Cricetulus griseus: one gene and its partners. The protein of the gene in region 3 purifies or fractionates together with the protein of the main gene of each other region. This does not show direct contact. Links are inferred from orthologs where the notes say so. Each region holds a gene or a part of one and is shown on either strand. Other genes may lie near its edges.

What was found.
Region 1: the proteins of Ap3m1 (region 3) and AP-3 complex subunit sigma-2 purify together in Homo sapiens (co-immunoprecipitation; 3 studies listed by BioGRID and IntAct, counting the BioPlex papers as one, with this or other methods). This does not show direct contact. The link is inferred for Cricetulus griseus from reciprocal best matches to the Homo sapiens genes AP3M1 and AP3S2.
Region 2: the proteins of Ap3m1 (region 3) and Ap3b2 purify together in Homo sapiens (co-immunoprecipitation; 3 studies listed by BioGRID and IntAct, counting the BioPlex papers as one, with this or other methods). This does not show direct contact. The link is inferred for Cricetulus griseus from reciprocal best matches to the Homo sapiens genes AP3M1 and AP3B2.
Region 4: the proteins of Ap3m1 (region 3) and Rabl6 purify together in Homo sapiens (co-immunoprecipitation; 3 studies listed by BioGRID and IntAct, counting the BioPlex papers as one, with this or other methods). This does not show direct contact. The link is inferred for Cricetulus griseus from reciprocal best matches to the Homo sapiens genes AP3M1 and RABL6.

Annotation. Positions count from the first base shown.
Region 1 is NC_048596.1:117,715,408-117,722,826, reverse strand, and holds part of AP-3 complex subunit sigma-2, read right to left. Parts: intron 3,561-7,419; coding exon 3,453-3,560; intron 1,392-3,452; coding exon 1,263-1,391; 3' UTR 1-1,262. UniProt on the Homo sapiens protein: Part of the AP-3 complex, an adaptor-related complex which is not clathrin-associated. The complex is associated with the Golgi region as well as more peripheral structures.
Region 2 is NC_048596.1:116,112,945-116,120,363, forward strand, and holds part of Ap3b2 (AP-3 complex subunit beta-2), read left to right. Parts: coding exon 1-40; intron 41-290; coding exon 291-357; intron 358-465; coding exon 466-648; intron 649-733; coding exon 734-1,017; intron 1,018-1,167; coding exon 1,168-1,222; intron 1,223-1,629; coding exon 1,630-1,701; intron 1,702-2,864; coding exon 2,865-2,927; intron 2,928-3,263; coding exon 3,264-3,396; intron 3,397-3,716; coding exon 3,717-3,826; intron 3,827-4,648; coding exon 4,649-4,825; intron 4,826-7,419.
Region 3 is NW_023276807.1:199,936,800-199,944,218, forward strand, and holds part of Ap3m1 (AP-3 complex subunit mu-1), read left to right. Parts: intron 1-2,669; coding exon 2,670-2,945; intron 2,946-3,615; coding exon 3,616-3,787; intron 3,788-7,419. UniProt on the Homo sapiens protein: Part of the AP-3 complex, an adaptor-related complex which is not clathrin-associated. The complex is associated with the Golgi region as well as more peripheral structures.
Region 4 is NC_048599.1:136,937,777-136,945,195, reverse strand, and holds part of Rabl6 (rab-like protein 6), read left to right. Parts: intron 1-1,045; coding exon 1,046-1,186; intron 1,187-1,594; coding exon 1,595-1,700; intron 1,701-5,635; coding exon 5,636-5,739; intron 5,740-6,702; coding exon 6,703-7,037; intron 7,038-7,291; coding exon 7,292-7,419. UniProt on the Homo sapiens protein: May enhance cellular proliferation. May reduce growth inhibitory activity of CDKN2A.

The DNA of each region.
Region 1 (7,419 bases), on a different chromosome or scaffold from region 3:
TACCCATTATTGTGGCTCCAATAGAGGACTGAAAAGATGGGGACAAGACACTGTGGGCAGCAATAGGCAAAGTGCAAGAAGTCCTGCTGGAAAATGAGAAACACCAGGTCCCGACACATGGTTCTCCTAGGGCCATCAGCAACATCACCAGGCCATGGGGAATGCACTAGAGCCCTGGCCAGCAGGAGGGGAGGTGCCTGGGCTGGGACAGTTCCCCATGAAGGTGAATCAGTTCCTCACCACCACGCCTGACATCCAGCTGACAGCATGGAGAAGAGGGCCTGCTCCCAGCAGCAGCGTTAGCTACAAATTAGCCATAAGAAGAAGACTCAGCACATGTTAACATTTACAGGTTTCCAAAGCTGTGAGAGAATGTCCTCCAAAGGATCCCAGTGTGCTCACTGCGGAACACAGATTGAAGAATACTATGGCACTATGGCTAGCATGCTGCAGGGTCAGCCCACATAGCACCCAGTTCAGACTCTCAGCTCTAAAATCTGATACTGGTCAGTGGGTTTCTGAGCAAGGGGAAATGATTCGTCATTCACAACACAGCCACTGAACCTCCTGCTTCCAGGAAGACAGCGTATTTTAAATTTGGGAAGAGTCATAACTCTGGGCAAACCCAGCCTTCAAAGTCTACAGACACCAGTCTCTCATCTGCAAGAGGGCTTTGGGATGTATGAGTGTGTGTGTACACATGTGTGTAGGGGTGCCCTCCCTATTGGCAGGGGTAGTGACATGCCCCCAAAATATGCTTTAAATTGTGTCCAGCACACAGAAGCCTGTGGCAACAAAACTGGGAATATGCCAGTGGGGAAAATGTGCTCTGCAGCAACTGCCGACCAAAAGGCTTGGTTATACAAAGGGATTCTAGGAGTCCAGGCCCTAACAGAGCCAGAGTACAACCTGCCACTTGACACACCTGGCATCTGAAAGGCTGGCCCTTCTCCCTGGTCTCTTGCCCACTGAATGATACAGAATCTCAGAAGCCCTGGGTGCTAGGGAGGAAGTCAGATGTGTTCAGTCTCGGTGGCGGGGCCCTGAGAAGCAGGTGGCTTGTTCCACAGTCCCCAACCCTGAGGCAGCTGTGTGTATCAGAGAGCAGCAGGATGGACAAGCAGTGTGCACTCAACTCCCTTCCCACTCTTTGAAAGGCTCAGTGTCCAGAGGTGCGACTCCAGAGGCTCAACAGACTCCGGTTCTGAACTTGACTGCCTTGCTCACCCTAAGGACCCCAGTTCAGCCCAGTCCTCCACCTTTCACACGAACTGGGATAGGTTGGGAACTTTGATGTTGAGGTCGCCAATGTTGATGTTCCTCGGGATCTCAGGAAGGTTCATGTTCTTCACAGCAGACACGGCCCTGGCGGGGGCTGCCGAAAGACCACCCTGGGGGAAGGGGAGGACAAAGTCAGTCACTTTCCCAGTGTCATCTGCTTGAATCTCAAACCAGATGAGGGAGATCTAAAGAATTCCAAACGGCACACATGGGAGTTTTCATTTCTTTCCTTTTCAAAGGTGGTCAACAAAGCCCTTTTAGATGGCTGGAGCTTGGCATGATCCCACTATATGGTCTGCAGAGGGGGGTGTGTCTTGTGCAGTTTTGCAGCTGCACCATCTAACAGTGCTCATGGCTGATGGTCAATAATCAGTTGCTGATAATGGTTTATCCAGGTCTTAAGCATTGAGGATACTCAATTTACAAAGCAAAACAAAACAAAACCCTTTCTTCAAGAGTCCACCATGCACACCTTAACTCCAGCACCTGGGAGGCAGAGGCAGGCGAATCTCTGTGAGTTCAAGGCCAGTCTGATCTACAAATCGAGTTCCAGGACAGCCAGAACTGTTACACAGAGAAACCCTGTCTTCAAAAACAACAACAAAAACAAAAGTCCACCTTACAGGAAAATGCTAAGTTGGGGAAATTCTTTAAAGGAAACAGAACATCAGATTTAGGACAGCTTAGTGTGAGCTGGAAAAGGATGGGCTTAGACTATCATGTGGCAACAAGCTGGAAAGCACTGCCAGGGCCTGGGAAAGCTGCAGCAGACACCTGTAGGCTCATCTCATCCGGGGAGTGCAGTGGGAGAAGTGACAAAGACTTCAGAAACTCATTGTTCCCTGACTGACAGCTCTCAGGACACCCATTCCCACTCCACCCTCCCCTGTATGGTTGTCTCTGTGGTTTCCAGACCCCTTGCCTGATTCACTCACTCTGCCTGGAAGCACTCACTTCCCAGCCGACACCCCTCAGGAAACTCTAGCAGCCAGAGCTGTGGCTAGAAAAGCTTCTCCAACAGTATCAGCAGTCCTCACAGGAAGAAAGCCTGGTTTTGTAAGACAGGCTCCATTACATAAAGCAAAGAAACCCTCAAAGACACTCAGATGTCACTGTTCCATCATTTCTGCAGCTATGAGGGGTATGCCTCTAGCCTTGCTCACTGTAGGGCTGAGGAAGGCTAAGACCACAGTGGGACAGGCCTGGCTATACCATGGCTCCTCCATCAAGCCTGTTGCCACATGAGGATGGATGGGTATGGTATTTTCTCTGTTATTGTTGCTTTTTGAGACAGGATTTCTCTGTGTAGCCCCTGGCTATGCAGACCAGGCTGGCCTTTAGACTCAGAGATCAGCCTGCCTCTGCTTCCCCAGTGCTAGGACTAAAGGTGTGCACCACCACCTCCAGGCTGGGTAGGGTATTTTCAAATCAGCATTATTGTAATTTTGTAGAAGTGTCACTGAAAATAAAGAATCTTGAATTCCTAGCATGAGATATGCACAAGCAAATACACACAAGCACCACAAATGTGTGCTTGTAACCATATTCTAGAAGCTGTTTGCTTTTTTCTGCCATCTGCCTATCTTTTACGCCTGACATCTCAAGTTGCCTTACCTGTTTAATATTTATACTAGCCTTCAAGTTAGTGTAGACAAATCAATAGAGACAGGTCCCACCTCCTAAGGACCCAGAGAAACATAAGCCATACAAACCACAGAGGCACACACAGCACACACAAGCCACATGAGCCCACATAGCATCCACAAGCTCATACAGCATACACAAACCTACACAGTACAGACAAGCTCATATGAACCCACACAGTATACACAGGCCCACATAGCATCTACAAACCCACACAGCCCACACAATCTCATATGAAGCTACGTAAGCCCATACATCATAAACAAACCCACACAGCACACACAAGCTCATATAACTTACACAAGCTAATATAGCATACACAAACCTACACAGCACGTACAAACTCACACAAACATACACAGTACCCACAAGCTCATATAGCATACACAAACCTACACAGCACACAGAAGGTCACACAAGCCCACAGAGCATACAAAAGCGACACATACTACACAAGTACATGTTCCTTCTTCCCTCTGCCCAGTGCTCTCTACACAGCCAGGGCACGAGTATAGCTACTTCCTTACCTCTGACTTCTCCAGCCTGTTTTGAGCTTCAATTTGAGCCACAATTTCATTCATGTTTGTTTCCAACACCATCCCACCCATCACCACCTCCTGAAGGATGTAGTGCACCTGGAAAAGAGGCAACAAGACGACTCAGCACAGCACAGTGGCTCCCTTGGTGGCAGCAGCAGAGGGGTCAGACAGGCCACATTCTCATCTATGCTGGTGGCCAGGTCAGAGGAGCAGCAGGAGTCAGCTCACCAGAATGCAAGGCACTGATGGGCAAATCTCAGATACACAAGGCCCTTGGGGCTTCAGTTCCAGAGTGTCTCTTGCTACTGCTGTGCCTTTACATGCTAGATACTAGAGAAAAATGTAAAGGCACAGCCTATAATGTAGTATAATTATCTCATGGAAATATCCCATTCTACTGGACATTTTTATCTGTGAATTATTACGAAGATGATTTCCTCTTAAGCTGCTTAACTTACAATTTTATTCAACGATAGTTTTAGTTTAAATAGGATTTTGATGATTAAACTTTTTTTTAACTAGCTGGGTGGTGGTGGCGCACACCTTTAATCCCAGCACTTGGGAGGTAGAGGCAGGTGGATCTCTGTGAGTTCAAGGCCATTTGGTCTACAAAGTGAGTTCCAAGATAGCCTCCAAAGTCACAGAGAAACCCTATCTTGAAACCTGCCCCTCCCCCCAAAAAAGTTTTTTAAACAAATGTAGTAAGGGATTATGACAGAGGTTAGTTTAGTGGGAACATTAATATAGATAAAAGTAGGATATGGTGTTGCCCCCATCCCTGATAAAGCAGGGGCTACAGAGGATAGAAAATAAGAATAAGAAAGGATCATGGAGCTAGGTCTTGAGTTTTACTTGAGGGTTTGTACAGACTGTGGTTAGGTTAATGATTAGGGAAAACAATTGAGTCCCAGGAGTTAGCTCAAGTTCTTTCTGATATTGGGAAATGGGTTTCAGTGTGCATCATAGCTAAAACAAAGATTTAAACAACTGACTTCATGTAACTAAAAAACAAAGAATTAGATGATTAGTTAAGATAACTGGACAGGATTCTAATATAAAAAGTATAACAAATAACCTATTTTTCTGGCAATTATAAAAACCAATGCCTATGTAAACGGCTACAGCTGAAAGGCTCCTGATCTATGAGAAGTCTAAAAGATAAGTGTTTAACTGTATGTGGGTTCTTGGGGGACAATTTGTTTTTTACCTGTAATATGTAAAATGTTTAATCATGTAAGGAAATGGGAAATGTGTTGTTTTTCACTTGTATGCATTAAAATCATTCACTTAAAAATGGAATGTAAACATATTTAATTAACATACTTAATAGTGCTGAAAGGTTTTGCTGGGGTATATAAGTTGTAAGGGGAAAAAAAATAATAAAGACAAGAAGAAGGGAAACACGAGGGGAGAAGAACAGAACAGAAAAAGAATAGAGTAGAACAAGCAACAGAAGGAATAGTAAAATGAAGAACTACGCTTTGGCCTTTGGAAAAGTCCTCGTGTGTCTGTTTGTCTGTTCTGTAGTTTGCCTGCTCTGCCTCTCCTATTCAGACCTGCTGAAGACTTGCCATTCATCAGCACCCTAGGTGAGATCCTGACATGTTGGGGGTGGGTGGGTGGGTGGGTGGGTGTGTGTGTGTGTGTGTGTGTGTGTGTGTGTGTGTGTGTGTGTGTGTGTGTGTGTGTGTGTGTCTTTTTCACCGACCCCAGAGAGATCCTGACATGTTGGGGATGGGTGGGTGGGTGGTGTGTGTGTGTGTGTGTGTGTGTGTGTGTGTGTGTGTGTGTGTCTTTTTCACCGACCCCAGAGAGTTAAATTTTCCTCCCTCAGATAGAAAAGTCAACTGAGTGATCAGTCCTCTTACTCCGTGTCTCCCCTTCAATTCCTGAGCTGTTGAAACCTGGTCCTTATGGCAGCAGATCCATAACTCAGACACCTCACTAGTGAGACCACAAGTGGTCTCTGCCCTTTGGTCTATGGCTTTGGGGCCTTCTATTAGCAATGACAGGGGGTGGGGGGTTGGTATCCTCAAGACAATGAGGTGGTGACAGAGGCTCCACTCAGACAGGTCATGTTTAAATTCTAGCCCTGCTGTTGTTAGCTAAATGGTCTTTAGCAAATTCTATTCTCAAAGCTTCAGCTTCCCTCTAAAACTACAGGAGTAAATGTCTGGGTAAGATAACTAGATGGGAAACTAGACATAAAAAGGCCTTGGCTAGTGCCTGGTACATACTAGGTTCTATACAAGAAGAGATGTTTTCCTATCACCCATTTGACTGTCATCACACTGGCTGGCATTAAGTAAGACCAGCTATTCGGACCAATCCATAATCCAGTAGTACTCTAAGCAAAGTTAAATTTTGATGCACAGCTAGGATGGAGCAGAGGCGATTCAACCACTACACAGGGATGACAGGAGAGCTGCCATAGAAAGTCCTGGGTGGGTGTGCTCACTGGGGCCTGCAGGGCAGTACTTCACATTCCTTTGCAGTACTGAGACTTGAACCTAGGGCCTTGTGCAAGCATTTTTCCCAGTTCCCCTTTCAACTTTAACATTAATGTTTGACTCATTTATCTCAGACTAACCTTGAACTTGCTATGTAGCCATTAAAAAATGACCTTGAACTTCTGATCTTCCTGATGCTATCTCCCAAGCAGTAGGATTACAGGTATGTGCCACCATAACCAGCATAGCCATGAAACTCAACCCACAGCTATGTGCATACTAGACAAGCATAGCTGACCAACGTGTCTAGGGCTTATCTTTTTGAGAAATATTCTTGTTAAATTGCTCAGGACAGCCCTATACTCACAATCCTCCTGTGTGCCACCAGATCCAACCTGGCACTTCAAATTCCAATTCCAAACCAAACCGTAACAACAAGACTTGTAATTATTTTCTGTCAAACCAGGAAGGTAGGAAGTACTACCGTCTGTTGTCAAGTAAGTGTAGAACTTTTGGACCACCCCACAGGAGGCCAGAAAAGGTCCTGAGAAAAGCAATGTAGCTACAGGATGGGGTGGATTTACAAAGCTCCTGGACCTGGCTGGGACAGCAGTTTTATGTAAGAAAGGTGGAGAAAGTAGCTTGGACTTGAAGCAAGGTATCCTAGCCTTGAGATGGTGTGTGTGTGTGTGTGTGTGTGTGTGTGTGTGTGTGTGTGTGTGTGTGTGTGTGTACTTTCAGAGGCTAGAAGAGGACACCAAGTATCCTGTTCTATTATTTGTTCTGTCTTACTCCCTTGAAACACGTTCTCTTACCGAACTTGGAGGTAGGCTGGCAGCCACCCTCCAGTGCTGGGGTTGCAGGTCATGTGACCACGCCTGACCATGTAGGTGCTATGACCTGAACTCATGTCCTCATGTTTGCACAGTAAGTGCTATTGCCCACTGAGCCATCTCTCCAGTCCCTGAGATGATCCTTTGTTGAGCTTTCATGGGTACCAGAGCATGTTTCTGGTCTCTGAGCATTAGCTGCAGTAGTTCCCTTCCAGGGAGGATGACCCAAGATCATTTCATCAGACATTTCTAAAAATTTCCCATAGGACAGAGTCATAGTTTAGACCACTGACCTCCAGTCTCAAGTGTCAACTTATTTTTACCAAGAAGTTAAGAACAAGATGTCTGCATGCTTTCATGCATTTGATACAAGAAGCTCTCTCTGTCCAGAAGAAGGCACTAACTCATGTAACTGGGATTGTCCTTGGGGGGAGGAGTACTTAACGGAGTAATCCTTTAAGTACCCATTTATTAAGTTTTTCTTTGTTGTTGTTTTTTGAGACAGGGTTTCTCTGTGGCCTTGGGGGCTGTCCAGGAACTAGCTCTTGTAGACCAGGCTGGACTCGAACTCACAGAGATCCGCTTGGCTCTGCCTCCTAAGTGCTGGGATTAAAGGTGTGTGCCACCAACGCCCGTCCATTTATTAAGTTTTAATAACCACTTCTCTGCTTT
Region 2 (7,419 bases), on a different chromosome or scaffold from region 3:
TTCGGAAAACAGCTGCTCATGCCATCCCCAAACTTTACAGGTGTGCCCCACCTTTGCCCTTTGTCCTCCAGGGCCCTGGGTTCCTAAGCCCCCAGCTCATCCCTGACCTCACCACAGTCATGCAGACTGCTACTCATCTGGCGTTAGACAGTTTAGGGATCTGACAAATACAGGCCAAAGGTGGGGGCTCACATCTCTTAATAAGTGGGTGTGTGTGCCTGAGGTGAGCCTGGCTGGGGCAGCTGTTGGGGAGCCTGGGGACAGGAAGAGACATATTGTTTCTCTCTCAGTTTGGACTCTGATCAGAAGGACCAGCTGATAGAAGTCATTGAGAAGCTTCTGGCAGACAAGACCACGGTGGGTGCATTATGGGAAGACAGGACAAGCGATGGGAAGGGAACAGACAGACGCTGGTTCAAATTCTTCTACCCTTCCCATTCACATCCTCTTGCTTTGCTTCCCCAGCTGGTGGCTGGCAGTGTAGTGATGGCCTTTGAGGAGGTCTGTCCAGAGCGTATTGACCTGATTCACAAAAACTACCGGAAGCTCTGTAACCTACTCATTGACGTGGAAGAGTGGGGCCAGGTGGTGATCATCAGCATGCTCACGCGCTATGCGCGCACACAGTTCTTGAGCCCCACGCAGAACGTGAGCTCGGGGCTCCAGTCCTGTGGAGGGGAGGGCGGTCCTCCAGGGAAGGCGCCCACAGACCCGCCCGGCCGTGTTCCTTCAGGAGTCCTTGCTGGAGGAGAACCCCGAGAAGGCCTTCTATGGCTCCGAGGAGGATGAAGCCAAAGGCCCTGGATCGGAGGAGGCAGCCACTGCTGCGCTGCCTGCTCGGAAGCCCTATGTAATGGACCCGGATCACCGGCTTCTGTTGCGCAACACCAAGCCCCTGCTGCAGAGCCGCAGCGCCGCGGTGGTCATGGCAGTAGCCCAGCTTTACTTCCACCTTGCGCCCAAGGCGGAGGTGGGCGTCATCGCCAAGGCGCTAGTACGCCTGCTGCGCAGCCACAGGTGCGGGAAGCCCCGCCCCCTCCGCAGTCCGAGCCCACCCTTCTCCCAAAAGTTCCTTCCTCCCAACTCTTTGGCCAACCTATTTTCCCCAACCCACTGCCCTCCCTGCAATTGAGGGGTTCAGAACCCTCTGACCCATCTCTTCCACAGTGAGGTGCAGTACGTAGTGCTCCAGAATGTGGCCACCATGTCCATCAAGCGCCGGGTAAGCATGCATTCAAGGCCCGCTCTGGATTCTGTGGGCTCTGAGGAAGCTGTTGGGACAGAGGGTGGGAGCATAGAGGACAAGGGAATTAGGGTGGAATGAAGAGGGATGCCCATAAAAATAGGGGAATTACCCCGTTGAGGGTGTAAGTTTTAATGACCCCCCAAATGCAAACCAAGAGCAGGGTCTAGATCCTGAAGAGGCCATGGTGTGTGTGTGTGTGTGTGTGTGTGTGTGTGCCCCATGAGAAGAATAAGTCAGATCTAAGGTGGACAGGGAACATGGGGCAGGGATGAGCTGGTTGAGGCTTAAGGGACATGAGGCCTGTGCTGGAAGGGACAGATGTCTCTGGAAGAGACAAATCTAGGGCTGTGGTCGAGATCCCCAGGAATGCTCTCTTTTGCCAGGGCATGTTTGAACCCTACCTGAAGAGCTTCTACATTAGGTCTACGGATCCCACCCAGATCAAGATCCTGAAGGTAAGTGCAGGACAGTGCATGGCCTCGGATTCCTGCTCACCACCTGGTTGAATACCAGCTGGGCTAACTAATACTGGTCACAATGGTGCCTGCCACTTTCTGGAGCTGAGCCCATCTCTAGGCTGCAGGTGTTTGTTCAGGTGGTGAGGAACTGCCTCTGGCTTGTGTCGTGGAACAAAACTTTCTGGGGAGATGCAGAATATATCTACTCATCCTAGATAGGGATCCCACAAGTCAAGGTTCAGATACCACTAAAGTCCAACTGGGTAAACCAATAAGTTTTACTGGGGTTACTTGCAAGAGTATGGAGCACTTACAGGAGCACAAATGACTAAGATAGCTGCATCACCAAGGTCCACCCCCGCATGAGTGACAGCTCACAAAAGCTGGGAACCTGGAGCACACTGCACGGCCTGCAGCTAGCTTAACAAATTGGAGAATGTTCTTTCCAAGTGACTCAGTTGGTCTACAGCTCTTCTAGGCCACTGGGCGGTTTCTGCTTCTCCCAGGCAGGTGGTCTGGTCTCAGTCTTTGCATGCTTCCCTGATCATGGTGGCTCTTGTTTACTCTGGTAGGGAGGCATCTAGTGAATCTGGTCAGGGAATCCAATGCCCTCTTCTGGCCTCTGCAGGCACTGCATGCACATGGTGCATAGACAAAACAACATGGGCAGAAAATAAATAAAATTAGAATAGGGCTACCATCATTTGGATCAAGGAAGCTTTCCTTGATAAGATGGAGTCTAAACTGAGACCTGGTAAATGAATGTTAATTACCTAAGTAATTTCAGGGTCAGAAAGGGGAAGAACTGCTCCATACAGATGGAATAGCCTTTGCAAAGACTCTGAGGCAGGAAGCAGGAAGAGTGGTCAGGTCCAGAAACCTTCAGATCATCCCTGGTTTCTATCCTTAAAGGAATAGCTTTCTGTGGATGAAGAAAGTGACATGACCCTACTTCACCTATTCTTTGTTGGGGACCTTATTGAGGAGGCAAATTGATCCTCCTGTGTTTTGAAGGTTTATGATCTTGCATTTCCATATACTCTGAGCATGTGCAGAACTGTCCTGAGTATTACTTTCTAGTCCATAAAGTCTGTTTACAATAAAGCTCAGAAAACCTGCTGGCCACACTGGTCACTTTCTGCCTCCACCTCTCCCTGCAGCTGGAAGTGCTGACCAACCTGGCCAATGAGACCAACATCCCCACAGTTCTACGGGAATTTCAGGTACAAGCCATGGGCTAACCTCCAGGCAGCAGCTCCCAGGAGAGGAGCCCAATAGATCCTTGAACCCAGTGAGAATTGGCCTGATCACTCTCATTTTTGGCAAGAGCCCCAAACTGTAGAAACTGTTGCCTAAGTACCCCTTTCAGTGCCTTCTGTTGGCTTTGGGCTGAGAACTCCCTCAATGTGGTTTGGAGATGTCATAATCCGAGACTTAATCTGTGGCATGATGGATGTAAAATGAGGGTTTACAGTTTTAGCCTACATGAAGGTCACTTTTAAGCTCTTCACTGTGGGGTCACTACTTACTGGATGTTCCTGTGTCATGATGTCCCACAGACCTACATTCGCAGCATGGACAAAGACTTTGTTGCAGCCACGATCCAGGCCATTGGACGATGTGCAACAAACATAGGCCGAGTCCGTGATACCTGCCTCAATGGCTTGGTGCAGCTTCTGTCCAACCGTGATGGTCAGTGTTTGCCTGGAGAAGTGTTCGTCCTTGATGGTGTATGTGTCCCTGCATGTCTGACCCTGCTGGCCAATGGGTTTTCCCGTGTGTGTGTGTGTGTGTGTGTGTGTGTGTGTGTGTGTGTATGTGTGTGTGTGTGTGTGTGTGTGCAATGTATATCTGCTTCAGATAGTGTCCAGGTGTTGCTGTAACTGGAGGGCTGCTTGAGGAGTGCAGGGGGCTGAGGAAGAGGACCACCAAGGGCATTGCAGGTGTGCCTGTCCACCTTGGTGTGGCCATCCAACTGTTCTTGGGCTCAAGTTCTCATTCTCATTCCCTAGAGCTTGTGGTTGCAGAGTCAGTGGTGGTCATTAAGAAGCTGCTGCAGATGCAGCCAGCGCAGCATGGAGAGATCATCAAACACTTGGCCAAGCTCACAGACAACATCCAGGTGAGAGAGCAATGCTGTGTTCCCAGCCTGCCCCAACATTGCCCCCACGATTTCTTTTTAAAGATTTCTTTTGCTTTAAATTATGTGTGTTGTGAAGTGGGGATGGGTTTATGCATGTGAGTGCCAGTGCCTGCAGAGGTCAGAGGCTTCAGATTTCCTGGAGCTGGAGTTACAGGCAGTTGTGCACCAACCAGCATGGGTGCTGGAAACTGAACTTGTGTCATCTGCAAGATCATCAAGTGATCTTAACTTCTAAGCCATCTTTCTAGCTCTGACCTTTACTTCAAGACCCTGTAGCCAAATGCTTTAGCTTCACCCCAATCAGCTTCCAAATTGAACTTTGGAAGTTCTTTAGGTACAAGGAGAACGATTGGACTGTGTGACCTTGTTGTCCAAGATTATCCCTGTGGGGCTCCCTTACAGAGCTCTTCAGCTTTTCCTACCACTCTTTATTTTCCGCCATAGTTCTCACCAAGGATGGGTGATTGTTTAATCCCTTGTTTTTCTGTTGCATTGAAGAGTTGAAATATACCTATTTTCATTACTGGAGATTCAGGAATACTGACATGGTGGTACAAAAGTAAATCTAGAAAACCGTGGTTGACTTTACAGCTTGGCAGCTTTACCCATGATAATGAAACCATGTGGAATATGGGGTGGCATTTATAAATGCCCACCTTTGAACCTATTCTACCCCTTTGCCCCCATCCTCGGACACCTATAAGACAGTAGGCCAGCATAGATAGCAGCCATTTCCTTGGCAGTTCATCCTACCCTCACCAATCTGTTTCCTGTAGTCCTAACACCTGTTTATACCCACAGGTGCCCATGGCACGAGCCAGCATTCTCTGGCTCATTGGAGAGTACTGTGAGCATGTGCCTAAGATTGCACCTGATGTCTTGAGAAAAATGGCCAAGTCATTCACAGCAGAGGAGGACATCGTGAAGCTGCAGGTCATCAACCTGGCGGCCAAGCTTTACCTGACCAACTCAAAGCAGGTGAGGAGTGAGAGATGTCCCCACTAGCTTTCTCTAGACCCCAAGAGCTGCCACAGGAAGCATTCTTTTGACTCTCTCCAGCAGGCCTGGACTCTTCTGAAAAGGCATATTAGGACAGGTGACTAGTCTTGCCAAGTCACCAATGCCACTTCAGTGCCCATGGTTATTCTTGGGACTCCAGTGGAGTCACCATTAAAGAGAGTCTCTTGTGAGGCTGTGAGGCTCATGTCTTGATGTTAGAGAGACCTTATCCGTCATCTTTGGAACATGGGCTGTGAGGTGCCTGTGCTGATTGAGCTAAGGGAGGGCTGGCAGTGATGGGCATTGATGGGAGAATATGTATTCCAGGGCAAAGCTTGGTGATGTCTGGCCTGTCTGTTAAGGCTGTGTTCTAGCCTGGGAGGTGTTGGCAACCAGTCCCTTTCGAAAGGTAAAAGATTATGAGAAATATTATAGTCAAGGATGGGGCTCAAGTAAGCTAGAATATCGTGGTGCTTAGAGCCTTTGGTTATCCAGTGTTCCCTGAGATGGCGCTAGCAAATTCTAAGAATAAGGCAGAATGTGCAGAACTTTTCAAGGAGATGGAGATTCCAAACAAGAGGAGAGTTCAGCAATACTGGCATTGGCAAACTGCTGCCCATAGGCTGAACCTAGCCTGTGGCTTGCTTTAACAAATATTTCAATTGGAGCATGTTCGTTTACATATTATGTATGGGTGTATTTGTGCTACAGTGGTAGAGCTGACTACCTTGAAACAGTGTGCATGCCTATAAAAACCTAAAAATCTCTGGCCCTTTGCAGAAAACGTTTTCAGATCCTTGAAGCAAAATATCTGGATGTATGGATCAGGTCTACAGTAGAGCTATAGCCTGAGACCACAGTGTAGCCTAAAGGTGGCTCTTTTGCCAGCCTTTGGCAATCTTAGGATCACAGCACATGGCATCTTTACTGATTCCTTTGATTCACAGTGCTTGGCATGAGTCTGAGGACTCAAGTTGGGATAGGCTGGGCCTCCAAGTGCCAGGACTCTGGTCAGGAGTCAGTTAGGACGGGCAGTAACTACATGCAGGGGCAGTGAAGTACTTGGTCTGTGCGTATCAGTGTTGTGGGGCATCAGTCTGGAGGAGCGAGCAGCACAGGGAAGCAGATGTGTGTGTGCTGTCTTGTTTGGAAGGTTGGAGGAGCGGGTTGGAGGAGCACTTGGAAAAATGAAGCAGGACTGAGGTGTCACTCAGTGATAGAGCATGTGCTTAGCATGCAGGAAACTCTGGTCCCCTGGGTTCAATCCCCAACAGCTGAAGGAGGCAAACCAAGCAAAAGGCACAATCAGTGCTCCAGTAGTGGGGAGTGTGACATGCCCAGAATTAAGCCAGGGCCCTGAAGCCATTGTGCTTTTATAAGCTTGGGCCTGACCATATGACAGTTGTCACTGTCATGGTAGGTGGTGACAATTGACAATGACTTTGACTTCTTTCCTCCTCCTCCTCCTCCTCCTCCTCTCCTCCTCCTCCTCCTCCTCACCCTCTCTCCTTTTACTCTTCTTCCGCCCCTTCTTTTTCTTCATTTCTTCAAGACAGGGTCTCTGTGTAACAGTCCTGGCTGTCCTGGGACTCACTTTGTAGACCAGGCTGACCTCATAATCACAGAGATCCTCGCTCCTCTGCCACCCAAGTGCAGCCACTACTTGTGTGTGAGCCATCACACCTGGGTGATAATTGACTTCTTTACTGGCTTTTTTTGAATCACAGTGGCTAGTGTTAGCCCCAGGGACTCAAGCAAGGGAGGCAGGACCATCAAGTGTTAGAACTCTGGATAGTCATCACTGCTAACTACATGTGTATGCATTCATTCATTCATTCATTCATTCATTCATTCATTCATTCATCCTCTTTCCTAGATGTTCTCTGAGCCTTAGGTACAGTCATCGTGATGTTACATTTTAATCCTTTAAGATTTCCATAGCTTCATAATAAATTACTATCAACTTAGTGGCTTAAGATAACAAAATGATTTTTTTTTCATTTTTATGGGTCAAGAACCTGGTGTGATTCAGTTGGGTCTTATGCAAGACTGTCCTGGGAGTGTAGGCCAAGGCTGGGTTTCCACCTGGAGGTTGTGCTGAGGATAAGTTCACTTCCCAGCTCACACAGTGTCAGGGTCACTTCCCAGATCACATAAGGCCAGCAGTGCTTGTGGTATAGAGCCAAGGCCCTGACTTCTTGCTGGTTGTCAGCTAGAGACTACTCTCAACTTTAGAGGCTGTCTTTAGTTCCTTCCATATGAGCCTCCCAATGTGGCCACTTAATTTTTCTAAGCCACAAGGGACAAAGTCTCTAGAGTCTCCGTACTAGCAACACAGTACCTTTGCCACATTCCAAAGTCTCAGGCCTTGCTTACACCAAAGCAAGGTGATTACACAAAGTACAAACATTAGGAAGCAGGGATGGATGTTAAATTCTAGATTCTAGAGGGGGCTGGAGAGATGGTTCTGAGGTTAAGAGCACCGACTGCTCTTCCTGAGGTCCTGAGTTCAATTCCCAGCAACCACATGGTGGCTCACAACCATCTGTAATGAGATCTGGTGCCTTCTTCTG
Region 3 (7,419 bases):
GAAATGTTATGCTTTCATCTCAGCACAAAGGATAACAACAGTAAATCCAGTGGTTGGTTTGACAGCAGTGTAGTCTGAAACCTGAACTACTGCCAATAAAAACAACTTTGGTGGAAACTTTCCTGGAAAGAATTTTTCACCAGCTTAAGAAAATGAGTGGAAATCTAGCTCCAAAATAGAAAGTAGTCAAAAACAAGCAACTCTCTTAGAGAGTAATGTGATAATGGAGTGCCACTGTTTTCCATAGGACTAGTGATTTAAAATAATCGGTGTCACTTCATTTATTTCTACTCTAATCTATTAAACTCAGCATAAAAGCTAGAACATATTTTGGTGTAACATTCAACTGTTCCTCTTAAACCAAGCCATACTGTACTATCCAGTAGTATCGAAGCCAGATGTGGGTGTTTAAATTTATTCAAATTAGCTGTTAAATGTGGAACTTTTTGCAATTTACAAATTCCAAGTTTGCAATTTTCAGGATAGCCTAGAATACATAGTGAGACTGTCTCAAAAATAGTTAACATTTCAGTACCTTAGTTGTCTTTGCTACATTTTTGTTTGTTTCCTTTTTAAGACAGGGTTTCATATATCATGAAGTGACTTGAATCTGCTGTGTCCATGGTCCAGGCTGGCATTGAACCCCTGATTTTCCTGCTTCTACTTCTCAAGTGTTGGGATGTACAGATGTATGCCACTACCCCCAACCTCACGTTAGCCTCATTTCTAATACTCAGTATTCAATGGTTACCATATTGGACAGCATAAATAAAGGACATTTCCCTAGCTGTTGAAAACCTAATTAGCTCTGTGTTCAAATACATGCCTGATAATTAGTGTATAAGAGGCAAATTAAGAGCAGGAACTCAGAATTCAGCTGTTAAGTTCAGATCTTATATCTGACACTGTGTGGTCTTAGATGATTGACTTAACTTTTCTGCAACAGTTGTCATAATATAAAATAAAGATGAAACAGACAGTTTTCAGTTGCCCCCATATTGCATAGCTGACAAATATTTTTCTGTTGTTTTGTTTCTTTTTGTTTTTAAGACATGTGTCCCATATGAACCTCAAATTTGCTATGTAACACACATGATAAATACCATGGCCAAAAGCAACTTGGGAAAGAAAGGATTATTTGGCTTTCACATCCAGATTACAGTTGTTCATTGAGGGAAGTCAGGACATAACTGTATGTTAACCTGTCTTTGTGCCTGAAAGGGGGAGTGTGGATTGAGAAACATTAAGTAAAGATACTAAGGAAGAGAGAGACACAGAATAGAGTCAGGAGGGTAATCCAGTGAATACTGAATGTGCCAAGTTTATTCTTCAACAATCTTAAATACCCCAACCAAAAAGGGGAAAATGGCAAAAAAAAAAAAAAAAAACCCTTCTTTATCAAGATACAAGGAAGAAACAAACTTTCTTCCTTAATTCTCCAAACATTTGGTAACCATGCCTTAGACTAAATTTCTCATTCTCTTGTCTTGAGGGTTAAGAGTAACAACGCCTAAGGCCAAACATCCTACAGTAGCAATGCCCTAGACCTTTAGGTCTTGTGACTTTAACCTTGGAAAAGTAAAGATAGTTTTAAACTCTCTGACCTTAAGCCAAGATGAAATGAAGCTATTTTTATGGGCCCCGACACAAAGCTATGGAGGAAAGCTGTTTAGTGGCTTGCTCAGCTTCTTATATCCCCCAGAACCACCTGCCAAGGGGGAGCAACACCCACAGTGTGCTGGGTCTTCTTACATCAGTCAAGAAAAAATGGCCAATGGATATGCTCACAGAAAAGTCTGATGGAGCGGTTCCTCAATTAGGATTTCCTCTTCCAGATTTACCTAGGCTGTTTCAAGTTGGCAGAATTAACCAGCACTTACCTATATATTACATTGATTAACTGTTCTATGTTCAACCAAACTTGCATTCTTGGAATAAATAACACTTTTTAAAATTTGTTGCTGAATTTAGTTTTCCAGCGATACTGATCTGCAGTTACTTAAAGGACTTTTTTTTCAAACAAAATGTTTTGATCATATTCTTTGTCTTCCCATTACCTAGGTCCTCCCCATATCCCTACCCACCCAACTTCATGTTCTCTCAGTCCAAAAGAAAAAAAGGAAAGATGGCAAAGGGGGGGGAGGGGAGTACACACACACAAAGTGGAGTACTTCTTGTGTTAGCCAGCTGCACCTGTACATGGGGCCTGCCCTAGAGTGTGGTTGATAAACACAATGATTCATGTAGAGACACATGATTTTCCCTTTCCTAGCAGGTATTAGTTGCAAATAGCTTCTTAGGGGTGGGACTTGGTATCTACTTCCCTTTCTCTATGCTGTGCTTTTTGTCTGGTGTTAATTTGTGGAGGTCTTTGTATGGTGTCACAGTCTCCATGAGTTCATATGTGTATCAGTTCTTTTGTGTCTAGAAGATGCTGTTTCCTTGGAGTTGTCTACCACTTCTGGTTCTTGAAATTTTTCTGTCTCCTCCTCTCCATAGTTCCCTGAGTCTTAAGGAAGGGATGTGATAAAGACAATCTGTTTAGAGATGAGTGCTCCAAAGTCTCACTCACTAGACATTGTCCAGTTGTGACTCTTTATGTTTATTACATCTACTGCAACTGTGCATTTCAGTGTACAGTAAGTATAAGGCCCCTTTTTCCTTCACAGAAAATGATCCACAGTCTATTTCTCATCAACTGCTCTGGCGACATATTTCTAGAAAAGCACTGGAAGAGCGTTGTAAGCCAGTCTGTCTGTGACTATTTCTTTGAAGCTCAGGAGAAAGCTGCTGATGTTGAAAATGTACCACCTGTCATTTCAACACCTCACCACTACCTCATCAGTATCTACCGGGATAAGCTCTTCTTCGTGTCTGTCATACAGACAGAAGTGCCACCTCTCTTTGTAATTGAGTTTCTGCATCGAGTTGCTGACACTTTTCAGGTTTGTATTCATCAAACTGCTGTAACTAGATCACTCAAGATACTTGAGAGACCAGTGTTCCTGTTTGTTACTTAGGCTCTTGATGTGTACAGTGTGACTTTCCTTAATAATTAAACATAACCTCATAAACACTTGTATTCAGTCACACACATTGCTGCTCTGTTCATTTTTATATGTGTGGCAAACTATACCATCAGGAAATGAGAGTGCCCACTTAGAATTATGTGGATTGCCACAAAGATTTATTGATCATGAGCTCTTCTAAGTTTACATTATCTATTTTCTCTTGTTTTGGTAAATAAACCAAATAGCTTAAAGCTTTATGTGTTTGGGAGTGGTTTATCAGGGCTAATGAAGTTTACAGTTAACATTTCAGTACTTTCTAACATGATATATGATAGGAATCAATTTTGTATAAATATAGTTGGAAAATATTGTAGAAAAATGTTGGCAAGTTCCCGGACAGGCTCCAAAACTACACAGAAAACCCTGTCTTGACAAACCAAGGGGAGTGGGGGGAGTAGGTTAGGTCTTCTTAGATAATTTTTTATGTCTATATATATATCTAAGGTCTTAAACCATGAGTTAAGCTACTGTTTATTTTTCAGAACAAGAAAAGCAAGCCTTCCTTCATGCTTTCTGTTGTTCAATATTATGAATATTTTGTTAGGACTACTTTGGTGAGTGTTCAGAGGCTGCAATTAAGGATAATGTGGTCATAGTGTATGAGCTCTTGGAAGAAATGTTAGACAACGGATTCCCACTGGCTACTGAATCTAACATTTTGAAAGAACTGATTAAGCCACCAACAATTCTACGTTCTGTCGTCAATTCTATTACAGGTATGAAAGCTGAAAACACTCTGCTAGGAAGTGATCCACTGAAACTTTATGAACAGCCCATTTTGTTCATATGGCAGACTATTAGGGTAGTCTAATTTGGCCAAAATTAAAATTACCAATAATGTTAAAATAAATGGTGGGTGGGTGTGTGTGGGTGGGTGGGTGTGTGGGTGGGTGTGTGTGTGTATACATGCTTATACACAAATGCATGCCTGTTTCCATGCCATAGCATAGTTACGGAGATCAGAGCTAGGGATTCAATCAGGTCTTCAGGTGTTACCTACCTACCGATTGACCCATCTGGCCAGCCCCCCTTTTCTTTTGAGAAAGAGAGAGCAAGAATAATAACAAAAACAGATATATAAAGTCATATATAGCTCATGTGTGTAATCATAGCACTTAGGAGGCTGACCAGGGAATTGCTAAGTTCAAAGCCAGTCTGTGGTACAGAGTGAGAAATATGTTTCTTTTATTAAAAGAGACTCAGTCTTGCATGACAAAGGACTTTTAGGGTCCAGGTATAGCTCAGTGGTAGAGCATTTGCCTATTGCTAGGTTCAATGCCCAATATTTCAAAGAAAAGAACTAGTAAAATAAGTAGAAAATTAGATTGTTAATAGAACTCATGTATAGTGGACTTTCTGCTTTTGTTATAAGCTTCCAGTTGAGTTTCATTGTAGACCACACCTAGAAATCAAGTATGCCCAGACAATCTTTTGAGGATTAAAGGTCTTCTAGAGAGAGTGGGCTTGGAGACAAAAACCTTTAATCCCAGGATTCAGGAGATGAAGGCAGGTGGATGGATCTCTGAATTAGAGGCCAGCCTGGTCTACACACGAAGTCTCAGGTCAACCTAGCTCTGGGACTGTGTTCAAAAAAGAAGAAGAAGTCTTCTGGAGGTAGAGTTTTATGGAATGTAGTTTAAATATCTAAACATTTTAAAGAGCAATTCCATACTTCAAGGACATTGTATTGAGGTACTGGAAAACTCACAATATTCAGTGGTGGGGCAACAAAAATGGGGGGGAAAAACAAGCACAAAATCATCAAGGTTTTGCGCGCGCGCGCGCGCGCGTGTGTGTGTGTGTGTGTGTGTGTGTGTGTGTGTGTGTGTGTGTTTACGAAGATAAATTCTAAAATGGCCAGTTTATGGTGGTGCCACCTTTAATCCAGCACTCAGGAGGTACAAGCAGACGGATCCCTGAGTTTGAAGCCAGCCTGGTCTACAGAGTCAATTCCAGGAGAGCCAGGGCTGTTACACAGAGAAACCCTGTCTCGAAAAACAAAACAAAATCTAAAATGTTTACATTGGCTATCTCTAGCTAAGAAAACATCTTTATTTTGCTTTATACATTTTTAGGGGGGTGTGTGTGAATGCCCAGGATAGAGATGTCCTGCTCTATCACTCTCACCTGATTCCTTTTTTTGAGACAATGTCTCTCACTTAACCTGAAACTAGGCTGGTGGCCACCAAGCCCCAGCCATCCTGTTTTGACCGCCACAGTGCTTGGGACATGGGTATGTGCACAGCCATACCCATCTTTTTTTGTGGGGCTGGGATCTGGAGTCAGGCCCTCATTTTTGCAAAGCAAGCACTTTTATCCCCTGAGCCATCTCTCCAATCCACTTCATACTTTAACTTTCCAAAAAAAAATGTATTTAATAGGAAAAAATTAATGTGAAACTATAGCATGGTTTGATAAAGTTTAAGAGAATAGTTCAGGCTGGATGTGGTGGTACATACCTGTAATCCCAGCTACTAGGGCAGCTGAAGGAGAACAGCTTTGAGTTTGTGGCTAGCCTGGATTACAAAGTGAGAGAATGTGATACACCTGGGCTATATAGATATATATATATTAGTAGAGTCTTGCTTATTATACTAAGGCTTTGTTTCTGTGCCTAGTATGACACATACGTACACATACCAAAGAATGGTTCAATGGATGAAGTAACTTGAACTACCTCGTGGCCCTAACACAAGCCCTGCAGAATCAGTAGGTTACAGAATAAGATAGAGAAATGAGAGCAGTTATGAAGAAAATACACATAAAATGGAAGACTGAGTTGTATTAGCCCCTCTAGCAGTAGAGCTTTTTGTAATTGAACACTGAAGGTACACTTAGAAGGTAAGACTGGGCTGAGTGTGATGTGGGAAGCTGAGACAGGAGACTGTTTGTCCCCAGGGCTAAGCAGTACGTCAAGCTTTTATCAGAAGGCGAGTGGGAAGCATAAAGGCTTCTGAACAGGGAAATAGTATGATTAAACAGTGTTTTTATAATACTCTTGGAAAGTAACAGGTTGGAGACAGGAGGGCCATCTATAAATAAGCTGTAAAAAGAGTGTTAGCCTTCTTAGCATAGTGAGATATATGTGTAATCCTAGCACCTAGGAAGCTGGTGTCGGAAGATCCCTAGTTCTCAGGCATTCTGGGCTACATACATTCCTCGTCCTTAAAAACTAATCTAGATTTGAACATACTGTGTTGCTGTGTAGCCAAAGATGACTTTGAACTTCTAATTCTCCTGCCTCCACTGTCTCACCAGTGCTGAGGTTAAAGCGTGTGCTCCACCATTCAGTGCCAGAGAATTCAGTGCCAGGGCTTTATGCCTACTAGACAAGCATGCTGCCTGTTTTTTGTCCCTGTGAACATAGGGCTTTATGTATACTAGGCAAACACACTGCCTATTATGTCCTGAAACCATATTTTATGTTTGATTTAAGCTTGGTGTGGTTTTGTGTGTGGTTTTTTGGTTTTTTTTTTTTTTTTTTTTAAGACAGGGTCTTACTCTGCAGCTCAGGCTTTCCATTAGCAATCTTCCTGGCTTAGCCTCCTGAATGTTGGGGTATAGGATATGCTCCCTGTCTTGCAACCTGTTTAATCAAGACAGGGTCTTGCTGTGTAATTCTCACCGCCCCAGAATTCACAATGTAGACCAGGCTGGCCTCAGACTTGTTGCTATCCTCCTACCTCTGCCTCTCAAGTGCTGGGATTATAAAAAAAGAAAATAGAATGAACAAAATAGAAAAAAGTTGGAGGAAATATTTAAAGAAATGTGCCTAAATGTTAATGGTTGTTGATGTTAGTAAAAAACATCTTTTTTAAAAAAAAATGTTTTATAAAGTTACTACCTTTTACAACTGTTCAGCATGGATTACTTTTGAATTAAAAATGTAAACTAACCAAAATGTTTGGTAAGTCATAGTGGAAGGGTTTCTATTTGGATAGTCATACATATGCAGTTTGCCTGGAAGTTGGCCAGATATGAACATTAGTCACATTTCAGGCAAGATGGCATGTTGATCTTAAGAAAGGTATTGGGGCTTTTGTTTTGTTTTGCTATATTGGGGATTGAGGGTAGAGCCATGTGCCTGCTTGGCAAATGCTATACTACAGAGCTACATTCTCAGTGGTGTGCTAATATTGAAATGGGAATAAGCAAAAATATGTTCTTCACCTAGTTACTCCACAGAGTCTAACTTGGCAGCATCTCATGTAGAATTCCCCTGAATACCAAATAACCAGGTTCAGACTATATTCTCAGTGGGGACTTCTGCCCACTAGGTTGTTCAGCAGCCAGGCCTCTTTTTCATTGCAGGCAGCAGGATAAGATTCTGTTATTGAGCCAGTGGAGT
Region 4 (7,419 bases), on a different chromosome or scaffold from region 3:
GTGCTTTTACATTGCTTTCTCTTGGGACGGAAGGTGGGTCATAGTCATTTCACTGGTTATGGGAAGTGTTTGTTAGTGAATTTTATAGAAATAAAATCTCTGTATAGCTTAGGCTAACTTGGAACTGACTATGTAGCCCAGACTGGCCACGGACTCATAATCCTCTTATCTCCGCTTTCTGAGGCTGGGGTTATTGGTATATACTGCCATTTCTGGCTTGTTTTGGGGGGGGGGGGGGATGGAGATTGAACCTAGGGCACTGTACATGCTGAGCAAGTACTCAACACTAAACCAAATCCCTAGCCCTAGTTGTCTTTACAAATCATTTGGAGACATTGGGATGATTTGTATAATGGATCTATAGGGCATTCCTACATTAGGTCAGTCTTGGAGAGACCAACAGACTTTGTAGGTGGTGTGGTTCACTGCAGAATAAATAAGGCCCTGGAGATAGACACTTCATTAAGGATACTTCAGAGATGGCATCCCTAAGGCAAGAGCCAATAAGTGGAAGTAGATGAGCTACAACCCTAGCCTCAGTGTGCCGCAGAACTGAGGGACATGTTACCCTAGGATACATTCAGTTTTGAATGATGCTACAAACAGGTGAGGCTCCAAGCAGTTTTTGTTTCCTTTTTTCAGTTTTTTTAATTTTGGGGTAGGAAGTTGTGTGATAGAGACCAGAGGACAGGAGTTGGCTCTCTCACTCTACCATGTGGCCCAAAGATCAAACTCAGGTCATCAAGCTCAGTGACAAGCACTTGTGTCTACTGAGCCACCCCACCAGTCCTTGAAGCAGTTTCATAGGGACCCAGACAGGTGGCACACCGATTAAAGGCAGGAGAGTGGAACACCTTGATTTCAGGTGCAGGAGAACCATGATGTCTGGGAGAGTCAGTGACCAGGGATGCAAGCTTTCTGCACTTGCTGTGTCTCTGAACCTTCCCTGAGGTGACATTTGCTCTGGGGAGTTAAACCAAAAGGGTAGTACACATAGCATTCTAAGGGTCACACAGCTAAGGCAAAACACTCTCCCTTTTTGAAGGACCTTCAATTATGTTCTCCGGGAGCTTCCCAAAGTGCCAACCCATGTGCCGGTGTGCGTGTTGGGCAACTACCGTGACATGGGCGAGCATCGAGTCATTCTACCAGATGATGTACGTGACTTCATTGACCACCTGGACAGGTGGGTGCTACCAGTTTTCCTCCTGTAAGGAGGTCTTATGTTCTGCCCTGATAGTGTTGGGGGAAGCTTATAGACACTTGGGTAGCAAACGCAGGTTCTCATCCTGTGTTGGAGATAAATTGTCAGCATCCTGGCCTAGGGAAGGGATTATGGCCAGAGGATGAGGAGCTCCAGGTCTCTGGTAATGCTGTAGAAGATATGCGGACCATATGCCAGGACTGGGGGGCCTGCTTGGCCCCCATCCAGTTCTTCTGACCACCCCAGAGGAGTCAGCTGCAGAAGGTCCTTAAGAACCTGCTGCCAGAAGGCAGCAAGGGAGACAGAACACCTTAGGCCTTAGGTGTGGCCCTTGACATAGGAGTCAAGCCACACTGCCCACTAAGTTCCTTTATCTTTCTTTGAAAACAGACCTCCAGGTTCCTCCTATTTCCGCTATGCTGAGTCTTCCATGAAGAACAGCTTTGGCCTAAAGTACCTGCATAAGTTCTTCAACATCCCATTTTTGCAGTTACAGGTAAGTGCTTACCAGGTAGGGCCGACAAGTGGGTAGCCATCATTTTTGTGGCTCTGCTCAAGGACCCTAACAGCACTCTTGGGCACCTTTTGGAAGTTGGCTACCAACATGTATCCAGTGGGCTGGAGACGCCACTCACAGTGGGCCAAAAGTGGGATAACATGTCTCGCTCTCTGAGAGCATCCAGAAGTTTCCATCTAACATGTACAGAGCCCTTATGCCTCTTTGGGACACTGACTAAAGTGCAGACCCCTTTACCAGATGAACATATAGCTATGGAGGTCCTAGTCACACAGATCTGTCTGTCATCAAGAGATAGGTTCCAAGACATGCAACTTCTGTGACTCCACATCAAATTCTGGGCTGGCTATACTCGGAATCATAGTCCTCTGGCCATCTCATGAAGAACAGATAACTTGCACCCTGTCTGAAGCATTTAGCCTTCCTGATGCAGCTGAGGCAAGTAGGGTGGCCTGGTAGGGTGAAGAGCTGCACCTACCCTGATTTTCATTGAGTGTTGTTCTTGGAATCTTTCAGATAAATAGAAGTGGCATAGGCTAAACATGGTGGCACACACCTGTTCCCAGCATTCAGAAGACTGAGTCAGGAAGATCACTTCAGGTTTAAGGCTATGTAGTGAGGCTCAGTAAGTGGAAGATTCATCTCAAAAAAGTTAAAGTGCTGGGCATGGTGATACACACTTGTAATCCCAGTACTTGGGAAGTAGAAGCAGGAGGATCACAGGTTCAAGGTTAGCCCTAGCTGTGTAACAAGTTCAAGACCAGCCTGGACTACATGACACCCTTTCTAAACACACAAAACACACACAAAAAAAAAAGCCGGATGATGGCAGTGCACATCTTTAATTCAAGCACTCGGGAGGCAAAAGCAGGCAGATCTCTTGAATTCAAAGCCAGCCTGGTCTACAGATCAAGTTGCAGGACAGCCAGGGCTGTTACACAGAGAAACCCTGTCTCAGAAAAACAGCAACAACAACAAAACAGAATTTGCAGAGATAGTATAAGATGGCCTTATCATCACCCAGTCCCCAGTGTCTCCTGTTTATGTTCTATATTTGTCAAGGTCAAGGAACCAGTCTCAGTCTATAAACTAAACCCAAAGCTCTATGTAGTTTCAGATCCCCCTCCCCGCCCCAGGACCCTACCCTGCTTAAGCTGTGGTCATTTTCTCCGGTCCTGAGGTGTGCTGTAGCTTCTCAGAACTAGGAGAGCAGCAAAGCTGAAAATAGAACAACGCTCTGGATCCTAAGCATAAGAACCGAGGACCAATTCTTTTTGGAACCAGGAACTGAAACAGCTTGGTGTGGGGTCTCTGGTGAATAAGAAAACCAAAGAGGTCTGGCTACCTTTCTGGACCTGGAGACCTGTAGCCTCCCCTGAGTATAGAGACCCTTCATACTTTATCCAATACACCAAACTCAGGAAAGTAGCCTTCCTTTTCTTCATCTCTGTCCTTTTGAGAAACATGATATTCCTGCAGCTGGGGTTATGCTGAGGAGCCATGGGTAGGAAGAAGAACAAACCTACAGGATCATAAGGAACTTGTACTAAAGGACTTCCGCTGAAGACTTCTGTTGTGAGACAAAACTTTTCCTGGGGTAGACAACTTGCCATATCTACTTGCCCCAGATGTATACAGTCTTCTATCTGCATGCAGATCTCATTCAAGGCCGTTGTGAGCCACCATGTGGTTGCTGGGAATTGAACTCAAGACCTCTGGAAGAACAGTCAGTGCTCATAACCGCTGAGCCATCGCTCCAAACTGAACCAATGAGTTTTATTGGGGTTACTTACAGAAGCAAAAATGACAGAAAGACAACTGTATCACCAAAGCCCACTCCAGTATAGGTCAACAGCTCATACAAGCTGGAAACCTGGAGTACTCTGCACAGCCTGTAGGCAGCTTAACAGGTCAAAGAGTATCCTTTCCAAGTGTCTTTGTAGCTGGTTTAGTCTGAGTCTTCTTTGCAACCTTTCTCCTCTGAGAGTCATCTTTTCATCTCTACTTCCCTCCTAAGGGGGATTCTCAGCTTTATTGCTTACTCAGGCAGGGAGGACCTAATGAATCTGGTCAGTTTCAGGGACTTCCTGAAGCTATTTTAAGTTTTTACCTTTCTACTTAGAGTCCTGTAATATGGAATGTTTCGATCTTGGAGGAAACTGTTACATAAAACAACTCACACTGCTCCACTCTATGAAAGCTTTACCACTGATTCCTGCCAGGGGAGACAGATGCCAGGATAGTCATTGGTGCTAGAAGCCTAAGCTGAGATCCAGAACAACATAACTTTCCTCCATGGTTATTTGCAGGGAATATGATAGCTACTGTCTGCTGGCAGGATGGTGGGTACCTAGAAGTAACCATGGATTGAACCATTCCATCTTGAAGGGGCTGGCTGCTCTTCTATAAGATGGCAATTCAATTCCCAGCACCTGCATGGTAACTCAAAACTGTCTGCAACTCTATCCTCAAGGGATTCAAAATGCCTTTCTGGCTCTGTACATGGTACACAGACTAAATGTCTATATACATTAAACAATTTTTCTAAAAATGACTTTGGGATGTAACTCAGTTGTTAGATACTTGCCTATTATTCATAACACCCTGGGTTCAGTCCTTAGTGCTATATAAGCCAGGTGTGGCACATGCCATAATCACAGCAATAGGGAGGTGGAGACAAGAAAGAAAATAAATTTTGCACCATCCTTAGTCATATAGCAAGTTCCAGGCCAGACCCAGATACAACAGACACCATGAGGCTGAAGAGATGATTCAGTGGTTAGTAAAGCCTGCTGCTCTTCCAGAGGACCTGAGTTCAGTTCCCAACATCCACATTGGGTAGCCAACAGCTGTCATAACTCTAGCTTCAAGAGATCCAATGTACTCTTATAGATCTGGGCATTCAAACATGTGGCTTTCACTCAGACACACATATGCACATAAAAATAACAAAACAAGTCTTTTAAAAAAACTATAAGACCGGGTGGTTGTGCACACCTTTAATCCCAGCACGCTGGAGGCAGAGGCAAGTAGACCTCTTTGAGTTCAAGACCACCCTGGTCTACAAAGTGAGTTCTAGGACAGCTAGGCCTACACAGAGAAACCCGGTCTCAGAAAACAAACTATAATTCCAGAATTATTCAATTACCAGTTATTGGTCAATATGCAAAGTCAAGTCTAAATAGACTTATATAGGGTATTTGATGTGGCTGTCTAGGTTTTTCTTGGTATATCACATCTTTAGTTTTAAATTAGGGCCCTCATCTGTCTGTGATATGCCTGCTTGTCCTGAGTATTGATCTGCCTTATTCTCATGTATTTCTATTTTGTCAAAATATAAAGACCAGATCTCTTGGTCTTTAGTTACTCCCACTTTTTCCATTTGGTTTATTTGCTCTGTGATGGAAAGCACTTCCAGTATAAGCCTGGGGCATGCTCTGTCCCGGGGCCATGTTTCTTGTGATAGCACTGTCTAGTAGGGCCTTTTCCAGCTAAAAACGCAGTCCTGTTTCATATCCTGTCCCCTCACATAGCCTGGAAGCTGCTGTATTTTAAGATTAAATCTAAATGCAAAAGACATGGTAACTGAACCCACAGGCTTGATCTGATCAGCTTTGGTCATCATACTAGAAGTGTACGGTTTGCCCAGTATGTACCTGGCAGAGTTTATCACCCTAAGTTCCCCATGGGGCTCCCCAGATGTCTTAAGCACCTATTGCCATGATTTTGTGACCTTGAGAGGCCAACAGTAAGTTCTAGTGACAGCCCAAGGTATGATGTGGAAACAGAAGGTTGTGCTTTCTGGTGTGGCTCCACATGACTGACCTGTATCCTCCAAGCCACACAAGCTGACTTGGGATCCAGCCAGACCTCACAGGAAGAGGCATACTCAGCTATGTCCACTTCCTCTACAGAGGGAAACACTGCTGAGGCAGCTGGAGACAAACCAACTAGATATTGATGCCACTCTGGAGGAGCTGTCAGTGCAGCAGGAAACTGAGGACCAGAACTACAGCATGTACGTGAGCCAACATCTACAGATATGCAGGCCCTGGCTACCCTGATGGGAAGGGCGGGTACTGTACTGTATTGCCAGTGGGCCCTAGTAGTCCACAGATAGGAGCCAGATGCCAAGCTTTGGTCTGTACCTGTGAGGCAGTGGAGAAAGCACCATATACATGGGTGGTAGGTCAGTCAACCTGAGTATTCTTTAGCCAAGCCCTTAGTACTCAGGTGGAGCAATGTGGGGAATAGCTGAGTAACATGGTACACCAGCTCATCTCAGCCTCTTAGGACAGGTACTCCATGCTATTACCCAAAGCCCTTCCTGTTCACCGATTGAGGTTTTTAACTATTAATGTGAATTGCTTAGTAAAGCACTTGCCTAGAACAAGTGTATTAATACTGTGAATTGAGCTATGCTGATCTTGGGGACAGTTTCAGTTTCCTTACAGACCCCTGAGTTCTTGCAGAAAGTGAGGGCAGATAATCCTGAGGGTGGGCTGTATTGGCTCTGGCACTCTATACCCCCAAATAGTTTGGAACCATCAGAACCTACATCTGGTATGGTTCCTACATGTGGATCAGCACAAACCTGTGGTTAAAGCAACTACACATGTATGATTAGCAACTCTACCCCACTGGCAAATAACCAGCCATACCTGCCTCTTGGTCACTAGTTGGGTACTGTTGACAGCCACTGACCTACCCAAACCCTATAAAACAGTTGGTCCTGGTTGACTCTGGTCATTCATCTGTGCTGTGAGACTCAGTTCCCCAGGCAGGTACCAGTATAAAGGGACAGGATATAAGCAAGGCATTAGTCTGGGTACCAAAGACTGTGAGGCAGCTGATTGGCAGGCAGTCCCTATCCTCTGCTTAATAGTATAAATGCAAAAGAGGCACTGATGGTCAAAAGCCTTGGAGAAAGAGGTCCAAGAGAAAGCCAACTTCTCACTCCCTATCCTTTTGCCCCTCCTAGCTTCCTTGAAATGATGGAGGCTCGAAGTCGAGGCCATGCATCCCCTTTGGCGGCCAATGGGCAGAGTCCATCCTCAGGTTCCCAGTCTCCAGTTGTGCCTCCAAGTGCTGTATCCACAGGAAGCTCCAGCCCCAGCACTCCCCAGCCTGCCCCCCAGCTGTCCCTCAGTGTCTCCTCCACCTGTCCCCAAGCACCGTCTCCTGCACCCCCTTTGGAGGCTGTGCCCTCCTCTGTGCAGCCTTCAGCCCCAGCCCCAGCCCCAGCCCAGCGTCGCAGTATCATCTCTAGGCTGTTTGGGACCTCACCAGCTGCAGAAGTGTCCCCTTCACCTCCAGGTAGGCCTGGGAGCAGCCCTCTGAACATGTGAATTTGGAGCTAGCTTCTGGTATCTTGAGCCTCACATCCCTCAGAGACTGGAATGCGGTTCCTGTGTCCCTAATAAGCTCCTCCCTCATGGGCCAGCTGCTGCTGTTTGGACCTATGATCTTGAGTCAGGGTGCATGAATTGTCAAGTCCTAGTCCTACAGACTCAGTTTTGAAGCTTTCCTATCATGGGGCCACATAAGGAAGAAACGGCATTTCTCTACAGAGCCAGCTCCAGCCCTAGAGGCCCCAGCAAGAGTCCAGAATGTTGAGGATTTTGTCCCTGAAGATGGCCTTGATCGAAGCTTCCTGGAAGACACAACCCTGCCTAAAGACAAGAAGAAAATTGGAACC